Linked DNA regions of Oryctolagus cuniculus. The protein of the gene in region 5 purifies or fractionates together with the protein of the main gene of each other region. This does not show direct contact. Links are inferred from orthologs where the notes say so. Each region holds a gene or a part of one and is shown on either strand. Other genes may lie near its edges. The genes, in order: ANAPC4, ANAPC1, ANAPC7, KIF20A, MAD2L1 and CDC27.

Region 1 (3,500 bases), on a different chromosome or scaffold from region 5:
TCGCACAGCAGGAAGGACGCTCCATCATAACCAAGTGCATTATCCCATGTCTTTGTTAAAGAGAAACAAATTCCACCAACAGCCCCTGGTCTCTACAGACATCCTAGCACTACTGCTGTATCTCAGTAAGAGAACTAGCCTCTGAACATTCAAGAACGAACAGTCCCACGGGCTGAAGCCAAAGAAAACCATAAACGAATTAGCTACCAGAAACGATGGAGACAATGGTAAAGACAAACTTACCCCAGTGACTCGGGCGATCTTGAACATGCCATAAGCATACAGTTCAATAAAGCCAGAGCTTCCTCCAAGGACAAGAATATTAAGCCTAAGTAGAAATAGTACAGTGAGGTGAGGCGCACTGAGCAGAGATGACCGTGTCTTAAACCAAGACAGAAACTCTGCGCTGTCATCTCCCCTGCAGTGGGACACGCACAAACGCACCACCACTCAAACCCAGAGTTCCTCAACTCCAACACAAATCCGCTTACGGTAAACTAAGAATACATGATACTAACAATTACACTCTCGATGACAAAACAACTATTTTTCCAGGTAATACAAAGTTCTACAGCTTTATCACGGCTATCATGCTAACTACACTAAATGGGATTAAAGGAAACTTATATTCTTAAATTAAAATTTTAGAAATTTCAATCCTCTTTTGCTTGTTAATAAACAAAGGCACACTTGAGGCCGGCGCTGTGGCTCACTAGGTTAATCCTCCACCTGCAGCACCGGCATCCCATATGGGCTCCGGGTTCTAGTCCCGGCTGCCCCTCTTCCAGTCTAGCTCTCTGCTGTGACCAGGGAGGGAAGTGGAGGATGGCCCAAGTGCTTGGGCCCCTGCACCTACATGGGAGACCAGGAGGAAGCACCTGGCTCCTGGTTTTGGATCAGCATAGCACCGGCTGTAGTGGCCATTTGGGGAGTGAACCAACAGAAGGAAGACCTTTCTCTCTGTCTCTCCCAATGTCTATAACTCTACCTGTCAAATAAAAAAAAAAAATTATAAACAAAGGCACACTTGAATGGTACTGAAGTCTGACAAAATGAAAGCCCACACAATAAAAATAATAAATATTAATGTATGTGTATGGTACGGAGGTGTTACGTCAACGACAAGAAAAACAGGACAAAGAAAGGCTGGACTTTGGCAAACTGCCTCAACTATGAAGTAGCAACTTTAAGAAGCCAGATTTAGTTAAGATCTCTATGAGACCTACCTGACATCTCCCAAGAGCTTAATAATTTCATCGGAATTTTCTTCACTAAAATATAAAAATAAATTGGGTCATCTTTCAATTGTTTCAAACGACAAGAGATTATCATACATGAAAATAAGGCACATCTTACCTAAATATTTTTGAGGTGTTGCTGTAGCTAGAAGAAAACAGAGATGGGATAAAAATACTCGTGATAAAAAGTTTAAAAACACACGAGAAAACTGATCATAGTGTTGAAAGTAGAAGGAAGTGAAATCTGCAAGGCTAATTCCAAAAAAAATAAAACTGTGATACTTACTTTTTTGGCAATGTAGGCAGTTTAGGTAACAGAAGATTTGACTCATCTTCAGCATTATAAAAAGATGTCAGAACACTAAAAAAAGGTAGTAGAAAAACACCAAAGATTTTACTTCTCTTTCCATTAAAAAAGTGAAGTTTTTAAAAAGATGCTCAGTTTTATAACATTACCAACTAAACAAATGCTGCAACTATTTCACCATTGTGAGAGTCAGTGTAACAATCTCAAATGAAAAATATAATTAGAAAGTTTCTTTTAAATTTTGCAAGAAAAAAATGCCCACCCACTTTATATTTACATGAATGAATAATTTTCTCAGTGTCTGAAATATATTCAGTATTCAGAGACTGATTGAGAATTTATAATTTGTCAGCTTTACTTAAGAACCTACACTGAACATGTTAAATACTCAGAGTAATTTTAAGGAATGTTGTGATTACTGTATCATTTAATTATTGGTTCTACAGCTTACACACACTTGGGATTTGACAAACCTGCAGGTATGTCACATATCACATATTTTTAAATTGTCTTACTTATCCCTTTTTATTTTTTAATTCTACCTTAAATAAGATTAGAAATAAGTGAGCAGGTGAAAAGGTAGTGATTCAGTAAATATTTTTTCCCACTTTTTCCCCAAAGTAGCTGTCCTGAGATCCTGTAATCCCACATAATTTTTAAACTACCAGCAGAAAGTATGCTGGGAATACACAGCAAGTGACTGGGCTGTGACAGGAACAGCATGGAGACTGCTCCTCCAACCTTGTAGAAGTTCATATGGCCATTTGCACTCCTTGATTATTTGATAATGGATTAATCACTCTGGTTTATCTACAGGGAATGTGGAACCCCAGGCTAGATCCTTTTCATCCACTTCCGATCTTTTCACCAATTAAAAATGATGTTCAAGATTTACAAATTCATTTGATATTAACTCAGTGGACTTAATTAGAAAGGAAAAGCTAACGGGAAGAAAATCACATGACATCAGTCTCCCCTTCTCTGCACTTTCCTGCTCCTTGGTTTCAGTCACCCAAGTTCAACGAGGGTGAGTACAGAAAGATATTTTGATAGAGACGGTAAGAGGAAGAAGACGTTCATAGAAATTTTAACACAGCATACTGTTATAAACGCTCCATCTTCCAATTAGTTTCTGTCGTTCTGCTCTTTACAAATTTAACTTCACCACCGGTACATCTGCATAGAAGGACCACAGTGTATACAGGGTTCAGTACTACCCACCATGTCGGTTATCCAGTAGGGGTCGTGCAACTCATGCCCTGTGGAAACGGGGACTCCTGGATCACACCCTCCCCCTTGAAATCTGTTTTTACCAGTATTAGGCAAACCCAGAGACTCCTTAGGCCACGTTCACTGCACACCCGGTATATTACTTGACTACACAGACTAGGTCAACACTGTTTTCATGAAACAAGGAAACTATCAGGACCAGGACACAGAAAAGAATCCAGCATCAGAACAGAATGCTCCATTTCAGACTTTTCATAGTCTAAGGATATTTACTAAGACACAAAAACAGAGCTCCAGACGAATTAAACAGTGAGCAGACTCTCACTGTGCTGGTCCGTAATTAACTAATATCACTTGAAAGTATACACCATTGACATACACTGCCAACATGCAGAGAAAAATTCTGGCCCGCCAGGCATTATTGCTCCAATAAGAAAATTTTTCAAAAGAAAAAAATTAAAATATTCCATCTTACAAGCTTACAGCCAAAATTTAAATGAGGCATACACATACTCAAAATACCACTAAGTCTCCACTTTAAAAAATGGCAATTTCATGAACAGCCTACCCTCCCTTCCAGAGTTGTTCCCTTCTGGGTACTCTACCTGCTTTCCACAGTCACTTCCATCCAATGCATGCAAGAAACAGGAGCCTCCACAGAAAAAGAGTGCAAGCTCTCAGGTTTCTCTACATCACACAAAACAACTTTCTTGGTGTCAGCAAGA
Region 2 (3,500 bases), on a different chromosome or scaffold from region 5:
CTTCTGTGTATAAAGTTAATTGAAAACGAATCTTAATGGAGAACGGGATTGGGGATGGGAGAGGGAGGAGGAGGTAGAGTGGGAGTGGGGGTGGGAGGGCGGGTATGGTAGGAAGAATCACTATATTCCTAAAGTTGTACTTATAATATTTGTGCTCACTAAATAAAAGGTTTTTTTGGGGGGGATGGTAAACAGTCCATTTGCCTCCTATACTCACTTCTTAGTCTTTATCTCCTTGTTCTAGCCTGCTTCACCACCACCACCAAGAAGTAACTAACAAAGAGACCCAAAGTCACCAGCCCACCCCTATCACCACACCTCCTCCACCCAAACCTCTCACTCTCCAACCTCCACCTTACACTGCAGGCTGAAAATATCCAACATGGCTGCTGACTATGTCCCCACATCAACCCACACAGCTAATTATAACAACATTATAATAAAATTACCATTGCTGACATTCCTACTCCCAAGAAACATTATGACACTTCTGGGACTTTGTAAAAAGGAAAAAAAAATGGAAGGTGTTGGAGCTGGCATTGTGGCATAGCAAGGTAAGCTGCCACCTACAATGCCAGAATCCCATATCAGAGCTTGGAACTTCTGGCTTTGGCCTGGACCTGGACCTGGACCTGGACCTGGACCTGGACCTGGAGCAGCCGCAGGCCCAGCCAGTGAGGCCAGTGAACCAGCAGTTGGAAGATCTCTCTTTCTCTACCCCCTCTTCAAATAAATGAAAGAGAGAGAGAAAAAAAATAAAAGGTGGTACTCAAACCCTACTCCAAACATCATCATCTATAAATTTTCAATTCTTTTACCCTCTCAAGATCACAGAAAAGGGGTAATCCCAACACCTGCTGGATTCCCTCTTGATTGTGTATTTTCACTTTGCAAATAAATCCTATACTTTCACTGTATCTTATTCTGCTGCACCTTGCCTGTGCCTTGTCCTTAAATTTCTTCCTGCACTGGAGACATGGACTCAGCCATCCTACAGCAAACTCACTGCACCCCAGTACCTCTTCTCTGAGATAAACTCTGTTTAAACTCCTCTCTGAACACTTGACCAGCACCAGGCAATCCTGGCACCTCCTCCTTCTTGGAATGTTCTCTCTTGTTTGCTCTACAATTATCTGACCTCTCTTGCTTTGCCTCACTGCAGAAGCTCTGACTCTTTTTACCTCCAAAATTTTAAAAATGCTATAAAAACCTAAATTTCCTAATCTTGCAAAAATTAGTTTATCCTCTAAACATCAAACACCTCAAATCTGATAGCTTAATATTACTAAATAAGGAAGAAACATCAAGTGGCAAAACAGTATTTCTATGATCACTTTAATATCATTAACATCCTCACTGAAACCAAAGTGGCCTTAATACATAGCTCTATATATTCTCAGGGGTATTAACACATATTATATTATAATAAAGCTTTCAGCAAAACACCAAATATTTTCTTCTAGCACATTTTTCTTTGAATATAAAAATATATGCTCCAAACCTTATATTAGTGATCGTTTCTGTCCACAAATGGTCAATACACAGCTCAGGAACAATTGGCTCTGTTTCTGGTGCAAGAAAGGAGCCATTGGAATTGCTGGTTGGAGAATGAGAAATACTGTGTCTCTTTGGAGACTGATTATGGCTTGAAACATTGAACCTTTGCACTCCTGAAAAAGAATGCACTCCTAAGGCAGGAGAATGGGCACGACTGCAAAATAAACAGAGGAGAACAGTGTGTGACACTTAGCAATGCCGCCTTAGGTAACATACCTTCTGAAAATTCTACACACAGAATATTCATGGCACAATCCCAGTCAGAAAATCCTAAAACGTTTTTAAAGGAAGAACTATTTAAATGGTTCATATTGGCATACTTCACAGTATTCTATACATTTAGAATTCTTCTTAAAAGAAGAATTAAATTAAAACTAAGAATTAGTTCACTTTCTTCCTCAAAAATTACTTTTATTATTTAAAAAGGTTTAATCTGTATTCCTGTATAATGATATACCCACCAAAAAATTATGTCCCTATCGCACTTACAACTCAATTAATATACAAATATATTACCAGAGATACATATAGTTAACAAAAACAAAAGAAAAACTAATATAAATTAAGAAAAGAAAAGAATATCTAAATATTTTTAGAATTAATATTCATCAATAGAAATGAAGCAACCAATCTTAGGACAAGCATAGGCAACTTCTAAATAGGACTCAGCAAAGAAAAGTGACATAGCCAACTTGGAAGTCTTAGCTAAAGTAACACAAATAGGATAATGGCTATTTTCCCTAAAAAAAAAACACCCAGGAGCAGTCTAACTTCTAAATTCTAAATCCTTCAAGATGTAAGACAAAGCTTGCAAAGGTCATCTTTTCCTTGGGCTGTCTTATTTAAAACAAGGAAACACTTCCACCTGAGAGCTGCCATGTTGGAAATCGAAGGTGAGCGGGAATGCAGGCTGGGTGATGAGGCTGAACGGCTCTGGCTGTGAATGGAGGAGTAATTCTGGAAAGGGGAAGCCACGGGAGAATCTCCTTTGGAGAGGCTTCTGAGATGTGCTGTGAGGGAGCTGCTGGTGGCCGCGTTCTGTGGGGTTCCCCCCTGCTCAGAGAACTTTAAAACAGCATTCTCTTCCTTAAGTCAAATGAAGAGAAGTAAACACAAAGATAATAATTAGAACAAAAGGGCAATTTCCTTGTGAGAATGCAAGGTAGATGTGATATCTGTTTTCCCTAAAAAGGTCAATCTATTTCGATTCTTCCAAAAACACCGGAAGGTGTTCAGGATTCACGGCCCTGTTGTGTGCCTTTATCCTTACCTCTGGCTTGACTCTCCGGAGAGTCCACACAGAATGCACATTCTGAACAGAGTCATAGGTCATTACGATGGAGGGGTCAATGTTAAGGAAAACAATTTTCATTGCTGGATCTACAACATAATGCACCCGTGTCGAACCAAAAAGACCTTAAAAATAAAACAGAAACAATCAGATACACAACAATGGGCTTCACAAGACCCATCTTTATGAACCGAGTTCTTAAAATTCCACAAGATAAAAAGAAACCAAGCCAAACAAAGCACAAAGGACATCATTATCCCACATGATTAACTGAATTTTTAAAAATTTACTTTGTATATCTTCCTTAAAATATATTAAAGATGAGAGCATTACAAGCTTCACTTTCAAATACATGCAAGTACACTCTAAAGATTTCCTCTGATGCCTCATCAAATTCAGCAGCCACAGGTAAGAGGTCCATGACTCTTTCAACACCCAACCTATGTATAAACTGTAACCAACTATCTGCCAAGTTTAACTTCCTTAGGGGTCCTTTTCTTCTGTATGAAATCTGTCCTCTGTAACAACTGTTCAAACAGTACTGAACAATACACTACTGTTTCTGCTTTACCATCAACATGTGCAAAGTGTTTTCATACTGAGTTCAGCTTTTACTTCTACTGTTTGATGGATTAGTTTCCATTGCCTTACT
Region 3 (3,500 bases), on a different chromosome or scaffold from region 5:
AGATATATTCCATTTGCTGGTCACCCCCCAAATGACCACAACAGCTGGGGCCAGTCCAGGCTGAAGCCAGGAATCAGAACTCCATCCAGGTTTCCCACGTGGGTGGCAGCAGTCCAAGCACTTGAGCCACCCAATGCCTGCTGCCTCCTAGGGTGTGCATGAGCAGGAAGCTGGAATTGGAGTTAAGTAAATGAATTGGAAGTGGAGTTGGGATTTGAACCTAGGATTCAAACTCTGATATGCTATGCAGGAGTCATCCTGAGCTGTATCTTAACCACTGCACCAAATTCCCATCCCTCCAGTTTCTTACTATTATAAAACACTGCAATGAGCAGTTTTAGTTTTATATCTTCAAAACTGTGAGCTTATTAGGGTTGATTTTTTTTTAAAGATTTATTTATTTATTTGAAAGGCAGAGTTACACATACAGAGAGGAGACACATAGAAAGAGGTATTCTATCCAATGGTTCCAAACGGTTGCAATGCTGCATTGGCCAGGGTTAGGACAGGTAGAAGCCAGGAGCCAGGAATTTCATCTAGGTCTCCCATGTGGGTGCAGGTGCCCAAGGACTTGGGCCACCTTCCACTGCTTTCCCAGGTGCATTAGTAGAGAGCTGGATTGGAAGCAGTTGGGACTTGAACTTGTCCATATAGGGTACTGGTGCTGCAGGCAACAGCTTAACTCTCCGCACCACAATACCAGCCCCCATTAGGGTTAATTTCTAGCAAGTGATGAGGACATTACAATTTTATGCCTTCTTTACTTAACTAATTATTAAGCAGTCAAAATTGCCAGGAATTGATTATTTACCACAAGTTTCCCCAGATACTCACAAATCTAACTGAAAAGCATTCTGTGTTGTATTTCCATTAGTTATAAATACTGGGCAGGCCCTGTGGTACAGCACGTTAAGCCACTGCTTGGGACACTGCATCCCACACTGGAGTGCTGGTTCCAGTCCTGGCCCCTCTGTTTCACCCAGTTTCTGCTAAAGCATCCTGGGAGGTAGCAGATGACATCTCAAGTGCTTGGACCTCTGCCACTCACATGGGAAACCTGGATGGCGTGCAGGTCTGGCCCAGGCCCAGGTGCTGTGGGCATGTGGGGAGTCAAGCAGCATATGGAGTATCTGTCTCTGTCATTCTGCCTTTGAGTAGATGAACAAATATAAAAAAAAAAAAAAAAAAAACTTCACATTTTTTATCTGTATAAAATGGAGAAACAATGTATGACTGTCAGTCTAGATAACTCTAGATAATTCATGTTTAATTTTTAGTCTCATTGCTCTTAGCCTTTTTTTTTTTTTTGGACAGGCAGAATTAGAGAGAGAGAGAGAGAAAGGTCATCCTTCCGTTGGTTCACCCCCAAATGGCTGCTACAGCAGGCACACTTCGCCGATCCGAAGGCAGGAGCCAGGTGCTTCTTCCTGATCTCCCATGGGGTGCAGGGCCCAAGCACTTGGGCCATCCTCCATGCCTTCCCGGGGCCACAGCAGAGAGCTGGACTGGAAGAGGAGCGACCGGGACAGAACCGGCGCCCCAAGCGGAGGATTAGCCTAGTGAGCTGCGGCACCAGCCTACTCTTAGCCTTTAATACTTAGTTGGACACATTCGCACATCCACATGGATTTTTCACCTTTCTCCAGTCATCTCCCCTTTAAAGTTACTTCCTATCTGACCACCTTTTACATCTAACTAACCATCTATCTTCTAAATCCCTTCAGTCCCTCTCTCAAAAAACCAAAACCAAAACCAAACACAATTCCATCTCCAATTACCTGACTTTGTGGAGTAGACGCAGAATTTCCAGTTGAAGGTCTCACTTTTGAAGTTTTACTAAGGGCTTTCTTTTGCTGTAAAGCCATGGTATACTTACTGACAGCATTCCGGTATTCCTTATCGTGAAACAGAGAGTCAGCATGATACACCAAGAGCTGGTACTTCTGAGACGGGGAGAACAACTCCCTAGAAAACAGAGAGAGTACACCCCCAACGTGGGTTATTTTGCAATACAGGAAGAACATCTTAGTATCCACATTAGTCTAGTACAAAGTCTTGTACAACCGCAGTTTAAATAAAGTAAAAATACTTCTAATACATTGTTTCTCCATTTTATACAGATAACTAAAAATGTGAATTTTTTTAATATTTATTCATCTACTCAAAGGCAGAATGACAGACAGATATTCCATATGCTGATTTACTCCCCAAATGGCCCTTAAGTGAGAGGTTTAAGAAGTTGAATCTTATGCCAATAATGGTCAACACATCTAAAATAGTACCTCAAGTTGTTTTGTTTCTTGGGGTTTTAAAAAAGATTTTATTTCTTTTATTTGAAAGGCAGAGTGACATAGTGATCTTCCATCTGCTGGTTGACCTCCCGAATGGCTGCAATGGCCTGGGCTGGGCCAGGCCAAAGCCAGGAACTTCATCTGGATCTCACATGTAGGTTGCAGGGAGTCAAATACTTGAGCCAACTTCCACTGCTTTCCCAGGCGCATTAGCAGGGAGCAGAAGTGGAGCAGCTGGGACTCAAACTGGCACCCACATAGAATGCTGGTGTCGTAGGCTGTGGCTTAACCTGCTACACCACAACACTGTGCCTAGGTTGTTCTGTTTTAATAAGATTTTTCCTTAATGATTTCCCTTTACTTAATATAAAGAAATGATACCTATAAATCAAATCCAATTATATATATATATATATGTTTATTCTAAACACTCTTAATGTAACAGTTTGAAATACAGATATACCTTCATCTATATAGTGTTAATTAACATCAAGTTTTTAGGCCAATGACGACTTAACTAGCATTACTAAAGATGCGGCAAAGACCTGAAAAAAAGAAATCTCACCACTTTGACTCCTTTTTAGGAAGGAGCTGAACAAAGAGTTCAAAAAAGAACTGGAAAACTCTTTAAATACTGAAGAGGCCAATGTTGTGACACCGCCTGCAACACTGGCATGCCATTTGCATGGGAGTCCTGACTACTCCACATCTGATCCCGCTCCCTAATGCACATGGGAAAGCAGCAGATCGCCAGAGTGCTTAGGCCCTGCTACCCACCTGGACTAGTCTTGGCCACTGCATTCATTTGGGGAGTGAACCATGGGATGGAGGACCTCTGTCTCTACCTTCTCTCTCTGTAACTCTGACTTTTAAATGAAGAAATAAATCTAAAAGCAGAGCTAGATCTTGGAACCACTGGTTCATTCCCCAAATGCTCAACAGCCAGGGCTGGGCCATGCTGAAGCCAGCAGCCTGGAACTCCATTCGGGTCTCCCACATGGGTGGCAGGAACCCAAGCACTTGGGCCATCACCCATCCGCTGCTCTCTGATGCACTAGCATGAAGCTAGACAGGAAGCAGAACAGGCAGGACTGGAACCAACACTCCTAAATGGGACTGCAGACATCCCAAGCAACATCTTAATCCTCTGCACCACTATTCAATAAGAAAATTTAAAATATAAGAGACAGAAGCTGGCACTGTGGCGTA
Region 4 (4,274 bases), on a different chromosome or scaffold from region 5:
CTTTGATGGAGGAAAATAGTTGTCACACAGGAAAACATTCCTGGGAACCTCTTCTCTACTACATGATTCCATTTAAATTACTCCCTCCTCACTCACCTGATCCTCTTGTCGTTCCAACTCTGAAGGTAACAAGGGCCTGACCCTCAGGTAAACTTTCACCTTCTCTGCACTGTCTGGTGGAACCTGTGGCAGAATTCCAATCCGGAACCATGGATTAATCTCAGCAGCCCCCTCTGAGCAAATGGCAAACAGCACAGTTCCTAGGAATCACACTGACATCACCCCATTCCATTCCAAATGTCTGTGCAGCTAGTCTTGGTTCCACAATCATTCCAACCTACACACACTTTTCTTTTTTTACTACTTTCTCACCCTTTTCTGTCTTATCAGTATCCTCCAAACCTAGTTTGCCATACCAATTATCTGAGTTAGAAGTGGTTGATTGGTATGAAAATCTGTATGTGATACTATTGGATATCAAGTCATTAAGCTGCTGGGAGGCTGCAAGGCAGACGCAATTGAATTTGAGTTCCAATTCCATCATTTAGTAACTATGAAGCCTTGAACAAGCTTTTAAAATGTTTTGCCTCAGTTTCCTCATCTGTAGAATGGAGTTAATAGCACCCAGTTCAAGCATTCAACAGACATTCAAAGTGCCCACTATGGCCCAAACTCCAACAGGTTCTGGTAGTCCATGAGGGACACTGTCAAGGACTCGATTCTGATGGAACTTTAAGTTCCTAAGAAAAACTCTAAGAAAGGACAGGAGTTGTCACTGTGGCATGCAGTGCAGATGCCTGCAGCGCCTGCATCCCATGAGTGCCGGTCTGTTCCTATCCCGGCCGCTCCTCTTCTGATCCAGCTCTCTGCTATGGCCTGGGAAAGCAGCAGAAGATGGCCCTCAGGCATAGGCCCTGGGAGTCCCAGAAGAAGCTTCTGGCTCCTGGCTCCAGATCAGCCCAGCTCCAGCTATTACAGCCATTTGGGGAGTGAATCAGCAGATGTAAGATCTCTATCTCTTTCTCTCTGTAACTTTATCTCTCAAATAAATAAACAAATCTTAAAAAAAAAAAAAAAGATAAGAAAAAAAAGACAATATAACAAAGCATGTTAACATTTAGCAGGGGCTGGTGCTGTGGCATACTGGGTAAAGCTGTCATCTCCAGTGTGAACATCCCATATGGACACTGGTTCAAGACCCGCCGCTCCACTTCCGATCTAGCTTTCTGCTATGGCCTGGGAAAGCAGAAGATGGCCCAAGTCCTTGGGCCCCTGCACCCGTGTCGGGGACCCAGAAGAAGTTCCTGGCTTCTGGCTTCAGAACAGCTCAGCTCCGGCCCTTGTGGCCATCTGGGGAGTAGACTAGTGGATGGATACCTCTCTCTGCCTCTGCCTTTCAAATAAATAAATAAATAAATCTTATAAAAAAAACCACACAAACACATTCAGCATTGGGCCTAGTAAAGTGGCTCTCAACCAGGGCCATTTCTCCACTTCTCCCAGCTACAAGGGGCATTTAGTGATCTCTAGACTTTTTGGTCATCAGAATAGGGAAGTTACTACTGACATCCAGTGGACAGAGGCCAAGAATGCTGTTAAACACCTTACCATACAAAGGCCAACCCCCACAAGAAAGACTATGGCCCCAAATGTCAAATAATGCTGTGGCTGAGAAACCTTGGCCTAGCGGAAAGCTAAACAAATGGTTGATGTTGCTAAGCCATTGCACTTAACACCAGGACGAACTTGTGCAAATTATCCAACACTTAACTGGGCCTCGTGGTGAAGAGAAGGAACTGCTCTCTCCCTTGGAGCTAACCATGAGCAGGAACTTGAGGCCACATATTCTACGGGGTTTTTGCTTGTCATACCCTTAATTCTGAATTGCTATCTCAGAACTTCTACCTTGCGTGGACAACTGTGGCTAAGGCCTTCCGCCGCCCGAGCCACTCCCCCTAGTCCTTTACCTGTGGCTTGTCCTCTAGAGAGGCGGAAATGACGGAGCAGTCCGACAGCAGTTCCTTGCGAACCACAGACCCCAGATCTGCAGCTGTGGACTCAAACATGGGGGAGACGCCCACCTCCTCATCTGACAGAAAGCCCGTGGGCGGAGAAAGGATCCCATGCGACATGACAGCAGGGGGCAGCCGAGGTCTGAAAGGAGACAAGAAAGTGAAGCAAGGACTTGGGACGAAGAGGCTTCAAACCAGGTTAAAAAAAAAAAGGCCCAGTCCCAAGACACCTGGCCCGGCTGCCAGAATTGCTACGCCCTTCCCCACCCACTGCCCCAGCCCCAGTATCTTATCTGCAGAGGGAAAGGCGATGAGGATTGAAAGTTAATCCAGCCTAAGGCGGCATTTTCGAAGGCGAACGTTAATCCTGGGCTATCAGGTTGCAAAAGCGGAAGGCCACGCTCCGAGGAGGGAGCCTGGCTCGCCGGGGCTGGGAGGATCGCAGGCTCCACCGACTGCACCCCAACGCCCACCGAGACGAGGCGTCTCCAGTTCCGCTTTCCGGACGCCTACTCCTCGCGGGCAAGAGCTGGTAACGCTGCGTGCAGCCCGTCCGCACACTCACCCGAGGCCGTGACACTCGCTCCTTCTGCGGTACCAGCTTACGTCTCGTTCCGAATCACTTCGTCGGCTGCCTGAGAGTAAAACTCCACCCACGAGGTGCAGCTTTGTTCCCGATACAATGTTTTAAACTACGCGCTGCGTTCGCTCGGCCAATCAGCTGGCGAAGCCTGTAGCTACCAATCAGCGTAAGGGAAGGAGGCGGGGACGACTGGGAGACCGTTTACTTGAGCGTGACCTCTCAACTGCAATGTGGGTCCGGGTTACCAACCGTTGCGGGCTCTCAGGTGTCTCACCTGGGATTCCTGACTCTTTTCCTTGAAGTCTAGACATTTCGTTCCCAAGAGGCCTAAAAGAAGTGGTGAAGTTTTAGTCGCCATTTTGTCTTTTATGTGGTAACAGCCCTTTCCCGGAACGCACAAGACCGCTGGTTCAGAGCGTTCGCTACGTCTTCGGAGAGAAAACTACATTTCCCAGGAGGCACCGCGAAGCAACGCCCGTACTCTATTTCCCAGAGTTCCCGGAGATCGGCCGAGTCGGACTGCCTCTCCTCAGGAGCTAGACTTCGGAGCCAAGATGGCGACGGGGACGGGCAGTGAGTATCGGGGCTGCTTTTGTTTGGGAGGCCGTTGGGGAGCCGGGGTTAAACACCACATTTCTGTCGCACGGCTAGGAAATCGAAAGAGTGGTTTGGCGGGGAGCCCGGAGTCCTCAGGGATTTGGGCTAGGCCGTGTCGTGAAGATAAGCGTCGGAGGGCCCCAGAGTTTACGGTCTTTCACCTCAGGGAGGGAGAAGGACGAGAAAAACAGCTCCGTGAATTTTTGTGTTATGAGCTGTGTAGGGTCAGAGGTAAAGGCAGCTTGGAAACCTGGGGTTGCTGATGAAGAGTTGTCGCGAGCTCTGTGGGAGTGGCAGGCATTTCAAAGAGCCAGTCATTCTCGGACCAACGTTGCGAGGCAGTGGAAGTGCGTATTTGAGCCGTGGGCTTTTTTCTGTCCGTGGGGAAGTTGCGTTTCGTGCGTTTCAGCCATTTCCGTGTTTGGGGTAGGAGAGGACCTTCAGGCCCGACGGTTGGGGGGAAGGGGCCGTTGGGAGTAAACAAGTTTATGCTAAGAGGGAGGCGGGGCCGGCGGCCGCTCGGAATCCTGGGAAATAAGCCCTTCCGTTCAAATTGGAATCCTTGTATTCTAGTGACAGCCTGATTCACCTTTTTTTTTTTTTTTTTTTAGATTTATTTATTTTTACTTGAAAACCAGAGTTACACAGAGAGAGGAGAGGCAGAGAGAGAGAGAGAGGGAGAGAGGGGTCTTCATCCACTGGTTCACGCCCCAATTGGCCTCAACGCCAGAGCGGCGCTGATCCCAAGTCAGGAGCCGGGAGCTTCCTCCAGGTCTCCCTTGTGGCTGCAGGGGCCCAAGGACTTGGGCCATCTTCTGCTGTTTTTCCAGGCCACAGCAGAGAGCTGGATTGGAAGTGGAGCCGCCGGGTCTCGAATCGGCGCCCTTATGGGATGCCGGCACTGCAGGCGGCGGCTTTACCCACTATGCCACAGCACCGACCCCAACTGGTTCGTCTTAATCTGGCATTCTCTCCCCATTCCCTGCCTTTTTTTTTTTTTTTTTTTTAATCTGAGCTTGAGCTATGGCATTTGAAAAAATATAATGCTATAATGCCAGTGTAAAGAATACAGTAGGTGCCAT
Region 5 (4,164 bases):
AGAGAATACATCCAATTAACCTCTATAAGTATTGAAGGATTTTAATATTGTATATATGAATGGCAGTTAAATATTTACATATTATCTAGGGGATAATGTAGCTTGAAAGAGAGATAACATGGTAACAAAATTCAGATGCCCATCAACAGGGCACTTTAAAAACAAAGTTCATGAAAATACAATGAAAATTATAAAGCATGAAGCTATAATTGAACTAAAAAATTTGAGAAAAAAAGGATTTCTGAATTTAAAAATTCCCTTCCCCTCAAAAAAAATATTTAGTTACTGTAGCACTCTTTGGAAATAACATGGGAAGCCAAATTGAGAGAAACACACTACAACATAGAAAATTAGAAATAAAAACCCTAGGCAGAGAAACTAATAAGAGTTCCCGAAGTAGGTAAAAAACCAAACAAATGGAGATCAAGTTTTGATCCAACAAGGAATACAATTTCTTGAGCTAAAGCAAGTGTTCACACAGAAAAATTTGTGAATTTTTCTAACAAATGGAAGTGGTTGAAAAATAAGAAAACTCTACTGGATATCTATTGAGTAATTATTCTTTTTTCTATTTTTGAAGTTTACTTCCCTAGTTGCATTCATTTTTATTTTCCTTGATCTTAATCTAACAACTTTATAGACGCCAGTTACAGAAAACCAACATACCATATAAGAACATATACCGTACATTTTCTTAAATAGATAATGAATGCCATTGGGATCATGCAAAATTCCATGTTGTTCCCCTGGCCACATTACCTGCAAAAGCTATTTCAAAGGGATTTGATGCTAACTGTTTTGTTAAGGCTGTGTAAGGTTTCTGAAAGTAAAATATCCAGCCCACTTAAAATGTAGTGTGTGTGTGTGGGGAGGGGGGTGGATAGGGTTTCTACCAATCTACTTCAATCACTATTATTTGCTTCCTCCCAATTGAGAATCACTATATTTGAGATGGTTGTTTTTTTTAAAAAATTAATACTTTGATATAGGAAGCTGAAAAAGGCCATTTAGCATGATAGAAAATGTAGCTCTAGGAATGCCTGCAACACTGGAATTTTTTCCAATGATTAAATACCTTTTAGTTGTTCCACCACATTATTTAGGTATTTGATAAGCTCAGGATCAGTAGTTACAAGCAAGGTGAGTCCATACTTCTGCACTCGAGTAAAGGTTTCAGATGGATATATGCCACGCTGATACAAAATGCTGTTGATGCCAAATGCTGAAAGCAAAACAAACATGTAAGTCATTGTCCTTTTGTACCAATGGAAAATAAAGTATGTTTAAATGTGACTAGTTTCATTACTCTTAAAAAACTGAAAATGGTTACACACATTTATTATATCTCGTGGAAACCAAAGTAATCAGAGTGCCATCAACATCCTTTAATTCAGGTCTGCCTTATGGTGCAGGTTAACTCAGTGCCTGTGACGCAGGACATCCCATACTAGAGTGCTAGTCCAAGTCCTGTTCTACTTCCCAGCCTTCTTTCTGAGAATGTGCCCTGGGAAGGCAGTAAAAAATGACCCAAATGCCTGGGTCCTTGCTAGCTGTGGGAAACTAGGACGGAGTTTCAGGCTCCAGGCTTCAGCTTGGTCCAGGCCATTCAAAAAAATAAGTATTTTTAAAAATCCTTAAAATCTTGTTACCAAGAGACAACTAAACAAAAGAAAAATGCCAAACTGCCTTAACCTACCACTTCCCAATTTTACCGTATTGTAAGGCAAGCCCAAGTTCAGATTATGTGTTCAGAAGACGCCAAACTAGACTTTTGCGACCCAGAAAACACGTGAATGAGTTTCTGGTCCACTGCGTCCGGCTAGCCTCTCCCTCTTTTTCCTCCTCACTGTTCTTTGAGGAAGTACAGCTCCCACACCTGGGCTGAGGGTGGAGTCTAGGTGGAAACACACGCGCTCATTTGGTGTCCCAAGCCTCTAGGAGGAGGGCGGGGTGGGTGGTGAAATATGGGGGGAGAATGGGGGGAGGCATCAACATATTAAAGAAGCATTTCGCTCCGTTAGAGGCTAGGCCCGGAGGCAGGCCTCAGGGGCACCTAGGCCTCCCCCTGTAGCATCAGCATAGAGACCGCACAAGCGTCCGCATCTCCTCTCCCCACACTCCTCCCGGGCAGCAGAAGGCCTGCAGCGGCCAAGGCTTCAGGGGTCCGCGAGGCCGAGCCGTAGGCCTCCCGCGCCGCCAGGCCTCAGGTATCCCCACCCTCCGCCGAGCGCCAGGAAGACTCACAGAAGAACTCGGCCACAATTTCAGCGCTCCCGCGCAGGGTGATACCCTGCTCCCGGGCTAGCTGTCGCGCCATGGCCAGACCCACGGACGCCAACGCGCGCTTCCGCTCCGCAGACCCAGACGGCGGCGGTCCACAGCAGTTCCCCGCCACCAGTTTCAAATGTAACGACGCAGCACGCAGTCGCGCCCTTTGCGTAAACGCGACGAGCCTCTAAGCCCCGCCCCTCGCGGCGGGGCCCTGCCCTTCCTCTCTCGCCTCCCCGACTTCGCTGCGGGGGGGGGGGGGGCAAGGAGAACGACAAGGCCGCTTTGCGCAGGCGCAGTTGGTGAACTTGGTCGCCAGGTTCCAAGTTTCTACGCTCTGATGTGGTGTTGGGAGATATTCTCTGGCGTGGTCGCCCAGGTACTTGTTTGGCCGCGCAAAGAAGGTGGAAGGTCTGCGTTTAAATGGTCGCTTCATAGACCTGTGGCTTTAGTGACCAAGAGAGGCGCACTTCCTAAATTTGAGAGATAACTGTCAAACTGTTGTGAGCCGCCTGGCCGCTGCACCTGAAGCAACCCGCAGTGCACGCTTGGGGGATTTTTAAAGGAACAAAGTATGCAGCTGCCAAGTAGTTTAGGCAGGCCTGGTGTCTTTGTGGGAACGCGGCTTTTCCGGAGAGACGGAGTTAGAGATTAAAGCGACAAACCGCATCTTGCTTTTCTGTCCCCTGCCAAATCTGTCTGGAAGTATGGCCTTCCGTCACAGACCAGGGTGTGTGTTTGTGGGGGTGGGGGTGAGGGGCGGTTGAGACCTCCTCCAGGTTCTGTCCTTTCTATCCATCTTTAGGGGGCTGGCCTAAACCTCACAGAAGAGGCCCATCGACACTGAAGAATTAACTCACTGAATTTTCATTCGCAAATTCAATAGGATGAGAAGTGTTAAGGAGGTAGTGCACAAGTAGCATTGATGTCCATTGTGAAAGGATTCTTAAAGCATCTAGGGAGATCAAGTCTGAAATGTAAAATGAAGTCTGAAAAACTCTCCTATCTGCCAGACATATGCATACTGTTATTTAAGTATATGAGAAATGCTTGAGTGTGTGTGTTTTCTATTGCTTCGGAACAGAGTACCATAAATTGGTGGCTTAAATAAAAAAAAACACCAATTGTTATCTCAGTTATGTAGGTACTGAGCATGACGTAGGTTCGATGTCACACAAGGCTAAAATCAAAGGTCTGCAAATGTGGTCTCATTTGCTGTTTGGGGTCCCCTCCCAAACTCCCTGGTTGTTGGCTGGCAGAACTACATTGCTCGCCGTTGTTGGAGTGAGGTCCCCGTGTGTTGTCTTGCATGTTTGTCACATGTCTTTTCCCATTTCCAGTCTCTGATTTTCAGGAGACCCTTGATCTTTGGGAGAGCTCACCTGAGTAGGTCAGGTCACCTCCCTTTTGATTAACCTAATCCCAGAAGTGATATTCCCCTTATAGTTTTAGGTTCTGCCCAAACTCAAGGCAAAGGGATTATATTGGATGTATCCCTTCAGGGGCTTGGAATTTGGGCCTCCATCTTAGCATTCTATTAGTGTTATGTATCAGATTTTTAACCATTTGAAGTTTAAAAATGAACATAATCGGTAATAGGCTAATATAACCCAGTGAAATATTTTCCTTATATCCTTTATTGTGTGTATGTGTAGAAACTGCAATCTTTGATATTAGGGACAATAGGTGATGTGAGGGTAAGGAGAAAGAAACTTGGATGTTCTTCATCCCTTCTACTGGGAGCTTAAAAGTAGGACTAGAATTTGCCATCAGACTAATAGTGTGGTGTCCACCTTTCTCTGTATAAAATTTGCCTCTCTTTCTAAGAAACTCCATGTTAAAACAGCATTCAGGAAAGAATTTCTTGGGTCTTGTAATAACATAGTTTGGAAGTTA
Region 6 (3,500 bases), on a different chromosome or scaffold from region 5:
TCTAATGGCCGCCGCGGCCTGCGCACCGCGCTGATCCGCAGGCAGGAGCCAGGTGCTTCTCCTGGTCTCCCATGGGGTGCAGGGCCCAAGCACTTGGGCCATCCTCCACTGCACTCCCTGGACACAGCAGAGAGCTGGCCTGGAAGAGGGGCAACCGGGACAGAATCCGGTGCCCCGACCGGGATTAGAACCCGGTGTGCTGGCGCCGCAAGGCGGAGGATTAGCCTAGTGAGCCGTGGCGCCGTTCAGACAACAGCAATTTTAAGACAGTCAAATCTTGATTAATCCTGAATGATTGATCTGTTCTGTGATTTTTCTATTTGTGAATCTGTACCATATATTCTAGGTACCATATATTTCTTGTCTGCTTCTCAGCCTGGACAGAGAAAAATAAGGGTGAGTGATACTAAACAGTGTTTAAACTATTTGGTTTATCTCCATCTGATAAGGGTGATTAAGGTAACTATGTAAACAAAGTGTTTTGGCTGTCTTACCTCTGGTGAATTTTTATCCATGTCTGTTAAGTCTTTTGAAAGAACTGAAAGAGCAACATCTTTTTGAAGATGCCAAAGTGTCGTAGAGTAGATCTCCATGCCTTCAACTCTGTAATTCTCAATTCTTCTAACCTCTGAGAATATTCTTTCAGCCTGAAATACAAAAACTAGTAAGGGGAAGGGGAAACAAGCAGATCCAGTTGACATGTCTACAGGGAGAGTACTGCTCAGTCTTCACAGGCTCTAAATGGTGCCTTTTATGTGGATTAGTAATAACACAAGAACACACTGAGCGACTTCCTGTGGAAGGTCAATATTGACATAACCAATCCTACTTATATGTAACCTGCTTTTGATACACAACTCATACAAAGAACATGAGCTCTGAAAAGAAAATTTGAGTTTCTACCAAACCACAGAAAATTTACATAAAGTCATAATTTAATAAAGACAAATTAATATTTTGCTCTTAAAAAACACTTTTCCAGTTTTACTAATGGTTTTATAGAATAATTCTCTCAGGAAAGATGATGGGAAGAATGAACTGTACAACACAGAATGTGCTTTTTGCACTGTCTTTTATTGAGAGGAAAGAGGCTCACAATCCTGTGGCGTGAGCAGCACTGAACACATCCACAACGCTGCCACAGCCGCAGCTGGCGCCCCCACCTACCAATTCCAATTAGCCTTGCTCTGCAGCTAGGTGGGCATCTCGGCACCTCTCCTCAGTGTCAGCTCCTATTTTTCTCCTCATCATATTCACAGCTTCCAGAACTGTGCTTCTCTCATCCTGAAGTTTGAGGTTTTAGGTTATATAAAACCTAAACTTGATAGATTAGTTTTCTAATCTATCAAATCTATCAAGTTAGTAAATTCAAAACTCTCCAAATTTAGTTCAGAATAAGCAATATCTGTGCCGTTCTTAATGAAATGATGAATGAGATGAAATAAGAAAAGAGCACTTATAAAACTGTGAACTTGATGATTTGTAATATCCCTAAAAATATCATGAAAGTTATAAAGGTAAGTTTTTCAAATAGGCATTGGTTATGAGAAGACAAATTCAACCACCAGTCAAATACAGGAACCTGTTGGTTTCAAATGCTTTAGAAACTACTGCAGGGTCAGTGTTGTGGCATACTGAGTAAAGCCACTGCCTGTGACGCCAGCATTCCATATGGCTGCTGGTTCGAGTCCTGGTTGGTCTGCTTCTGGTCCAGCTCCCTACTAATGACATGGGAAAGCAGCAGAAGATGGCCCAAATGTTTGGGCCCCTGTCACCCATGTGGGAGACCTGGATGAAGCTCCTGGCTTTGACCTGGTCCACTTCTGGCCTTTGTGGCCACCTGGGGAATAAGCCAGTAGATGGAAGATCTCTCTCTGTAACTGACTAAAAAAAAAAAAAGGGGGGGGGGGAAGACACATCAATCTAAGCTCAAACTTTAGTTAAGTCTGAGTTACCACTCTAAAATTAGGGAGAACAATAAAGTTTATATAATAAAAAAACTTGTGAAACAACAAATTAGAAATAATTTTGAAAGGGGCTTTCCAGTTTTTGCCTACGTGAATACTGTATGTACCAAACATGATTCTAGCAGAAGCAAAGTTTAAGGTTTCCTGCCTACAATCCTCTTTAATGTGTTATACAATATCCTCTGGCTGGAGGAGGACTTCTCCCTTAAATCTTTGCATGGTTCAAGAAAGGAGGTATAACTTTCCTTTCTGGAGCTCTCTTTTTTTTTTTTTTTTTTTTTTTAAATCACAACATATTCCACCATCTCTCAGTTTCCTTACTATGCTTCATTTTCCTTCATGGCTTGTTGTTACCTGTCCTAATACATTCCTTGGCTTACAATGTCTCTTCCTAAGATGTATGCTCCACAGAGGCAAGAAACTGTCTCCTTAGTTTAGGTCTAGAAAAGAGTCTAAGATATAAAATGCACTAAAACAAATATAGAATATATGAAAATAAACAGAGCAAAAATGTAACTTTGTCACTTTTAAATAATAATTAATTTTGTTAATATATTTCTTTAATGTTTTGGCTTTCTTTAAAAAAGAAAAATTTATTTATTTATTTGAAAGGCAGAATAACAGAGAGAGATATTTCATCTACTAGTTCACTTCCCAAATGCCCCCAATAACCAGGATTAGGCCAGGCCAAAGCCAGGAGTGTCAAAATCCATCTAGGTCTCTGGCCCAAGGTCTGGCCTCAAGGCCCATACGCCTGGGACTCAAGTACTCCAGCCATCACCTGCAGACTTCCAGGCACATTAGCAGGGAGCTGGATGGGAAGTGCGAAGGACCCAGGACTAGAACCAGGCACTTCCATATGCTATAAAGGCATCCCAAGTGGTGGCTTTTACAGGCATTTCAAGACTGAACCAGCAGACAGATGATCCCTGTCAGCTTCTCTCTGCCTTTCAATTAAACCCATAAAATTTTTTTAAAGATTTATTTATTTAATTATTTGAAAGAGTTACACAGACAGAGAACGGTAAGCAGAGAGAGGTCTTCCATTTGCTAGTTCACTCCCTAGATGGCCTCAACTCCCAGAGCTGAAGCCAGGAGCCAGAAGCTTTTTCCCACACAGGTACAGAGGCCCAAGCACTTGGGCCATCTTTTACTGTTTTCCCAGGCCACGGCATAGAGCTGGATTGGAAGTGGAACAGCTGGGACTCGAACTGGAGCCCATATGGGATGCTGGCACAGCAGGCGGGGGCTCTACTTGCTTTGCCACATCACCGGCCCCGAAAAGAATTTTTTAAGAAGATGAAAAAATTTGAAATTAGAATTTTCTTTGCCTTTAGGTTACTCAACTTAACTTTTTTGGTATAAAAACATAAAGAACATATTAATATTAAAAAGATAAAAACCTTGGCCGGCGCCGTGGCTTAATAGGCTAATCCTCCACCTTGCGGTGCCGGCACCCCGGGGTTCTAGTCCCGGTCGGGGCGCCGGATTCTGTCCCGGTTGCCCCTCTTCCAGGCCAGCTCTCTGCTGTGG

What was found.
Region 1: the proteins of MAD2L1 (region 5) and ANAPC4 purify together in Homo sapiens (affinity purification with western blotting; 14 studies listed by BioGRID and IntAct, with this or other methods). This does not show direct contact. The link is inferred for Oryctolagus cuniculus from reciprocal best matches to the Homo sapiens genes MAD2L1 and ANAPC4.
Region 2: the proteins of MAD2L1 (region 5) and ANAPC1 purify together in Homo sapiens (affinity purification with mass spectrometry; 3 studies listed by BioGRID and IntAct, with this or other methods). This does not show direct contact. The link is inferred for Oryctolagus cuniculus from reciprocal best matches to the Homo sapiens genes MAD2L1 and ANAPC1.
Region 3: the proteins of MAD2L1 (region 5) and ANAPC7 purify together in Homo sapiens (affinity purification with mass spectrometry; 3 studies listed by BioGRID and IntAct, with this or other methods). This does not show direct contact. The link is inferred for Oryctolagus cuniculus from reciprocal best matches to the Homo sapiens genes MAD2L1 and ANAPC7.
Region 4: the proteins of MAD2L1 (region 5) and KIF20A purify together in Homo sapiens (affinity purification with mass spectrometry; 4 studies listed by BioGRID and IntAct, with this or other methods). This does not show direct contact. The link is inferred for Oryctolagus cuniculus from reciprocal best matches to the Homo sapiens genes MAD2L1 and KIF20A.
Region 6: the proteins of MAD2L1 (region 5) and CDC27 purify together in Homo sapiens (affinity purification with western blotting; 29 studies listed by BioGRID and IntAct, with this or other methods). This does not show direct contact. The link is inferred for Oryctolagus cuniculus from reciprocal best matches to the Homo sapiens genes MAD2L1 and CDC27.

The regions. Positions count from the first base shown.
Region 1 is NC_091433.1:20,493,248-20,496,747, reverse strand, and holds part of ANAPC4 (anaphase-promoting complex subunit 4), read right to left. Parts: coding exon 3,381-3,500; intron 1,600-3,380; coding exon 1,525-1,599; intron 1,384-1,524; coding exon 1,357-1,383; intron 1,272-1,356; coding exon 1,227-1,271; intron 329-1,226; coding exon 244-328; intron 1-243. UniProt on the Homo sapiens protein: Component of the anaphase promoting complex/cyclosome (APC/C), a cell cycle-regulated E3 ubiquitin ligase that controls progression through mitosis and the G1 phase of the cell cycle.
Region 2 is NC_091433.1:113,096,715-113,100,214, forward strand, and holds part of ANAPC1 (anaphase-promoting complex subunit 1), read right to left. Parts: intron 2,974-3,500; coding exon 2,828-2,973; intron 2,644-2,827; coding exon 2,423-2,643; intron 1,712-2,422; coding exon 1,502-1,711; intron 1-1,501. UniProt on the Homo sapiens protein: Component of the anaphase promoting complex/cyclosome (APC/C), a cell cycle-regulated E3 ubiquitin ligase that controls progression through mitosis and the G1 phase of the cell cycle.
Region 3 is NC_091452.1:8,080,090-8,083,589, forward strand, and holds part of ANAPC7 (anaphase-promoting complex subunit 7), read right to left. Parts: intron 1,966-3,500; coding exon 1,779-1,965; intron 1-1,778. UniProt on the Homo sapiens protein: Component of the anaphase promoting complex/cyclosome (APC/C), a cell cycle-regulated E3 ubiquitin ligase that controls progression through mitosis and the G1 phase of the cell cycle.
Region 4 is NC_091437.1:25,991,818-25,996,091, reverse strand, and holds the start of KIF20A (kinesin-like protein KIF20A), read right to left. Parts: upstream 2,801-4,274; 5' UTR 2,578-2,800; intron 2,155-2,577; 5' UTR 2,133-2,154; coding exon 1,968-2,132; intron 184-1,967; coding exon 97-183; intron 1-96. Other genes in the region: BRD8 (bromodomain-containing protein 8), read left to right, coding at 3,150-3,168. UniProt on the Homo sapiens protein: Mitotic kinesin required for chromosome passenger complex (CPC)-mediated cytokinesis. Following phosphorylation by PLK1, involved in recruitment of PLK1 to the central spindle. Interacts with guanosine triphosphate (GTP)-bound forms of RAB6A and RAB6B.
Region 5 is NC_091439.1:45,314,113-45,318,276, reverse strand, and holds the start of MAD2L1 (mitotic spindle assembly checkpoint protein MAD2A), read right to left. Parts: upstream 2,801-4,164; 5' UTR 2,318-2,800; coding exon 2,245-2,317; intron 1,223-2,244; coding exon 1,076-1,222; intron 1-1,075. UniProt on the Homo sapiens protein: Component of the spindle-assembly checkpoint that prevents the onset of anaphase until all chromosomes are properly aligned at the metaphase plate.
Region 6 is NC_091448.1:16,996,662-17,000,161, reverse strand, and holds part of CDC27 (cell division cycle protein 27 homolog), read right to left. Parts: intron 648-3,500; coding exon 495-647; intron 1-494. UniProt on the Homo sapiens protein: Component of the anaphase promoting complex/cyclosome (APC/C), a cell cycle-regulated E3 ubiquitin ligase that controls progression through mitosis and the G1 phase of the cell cycle.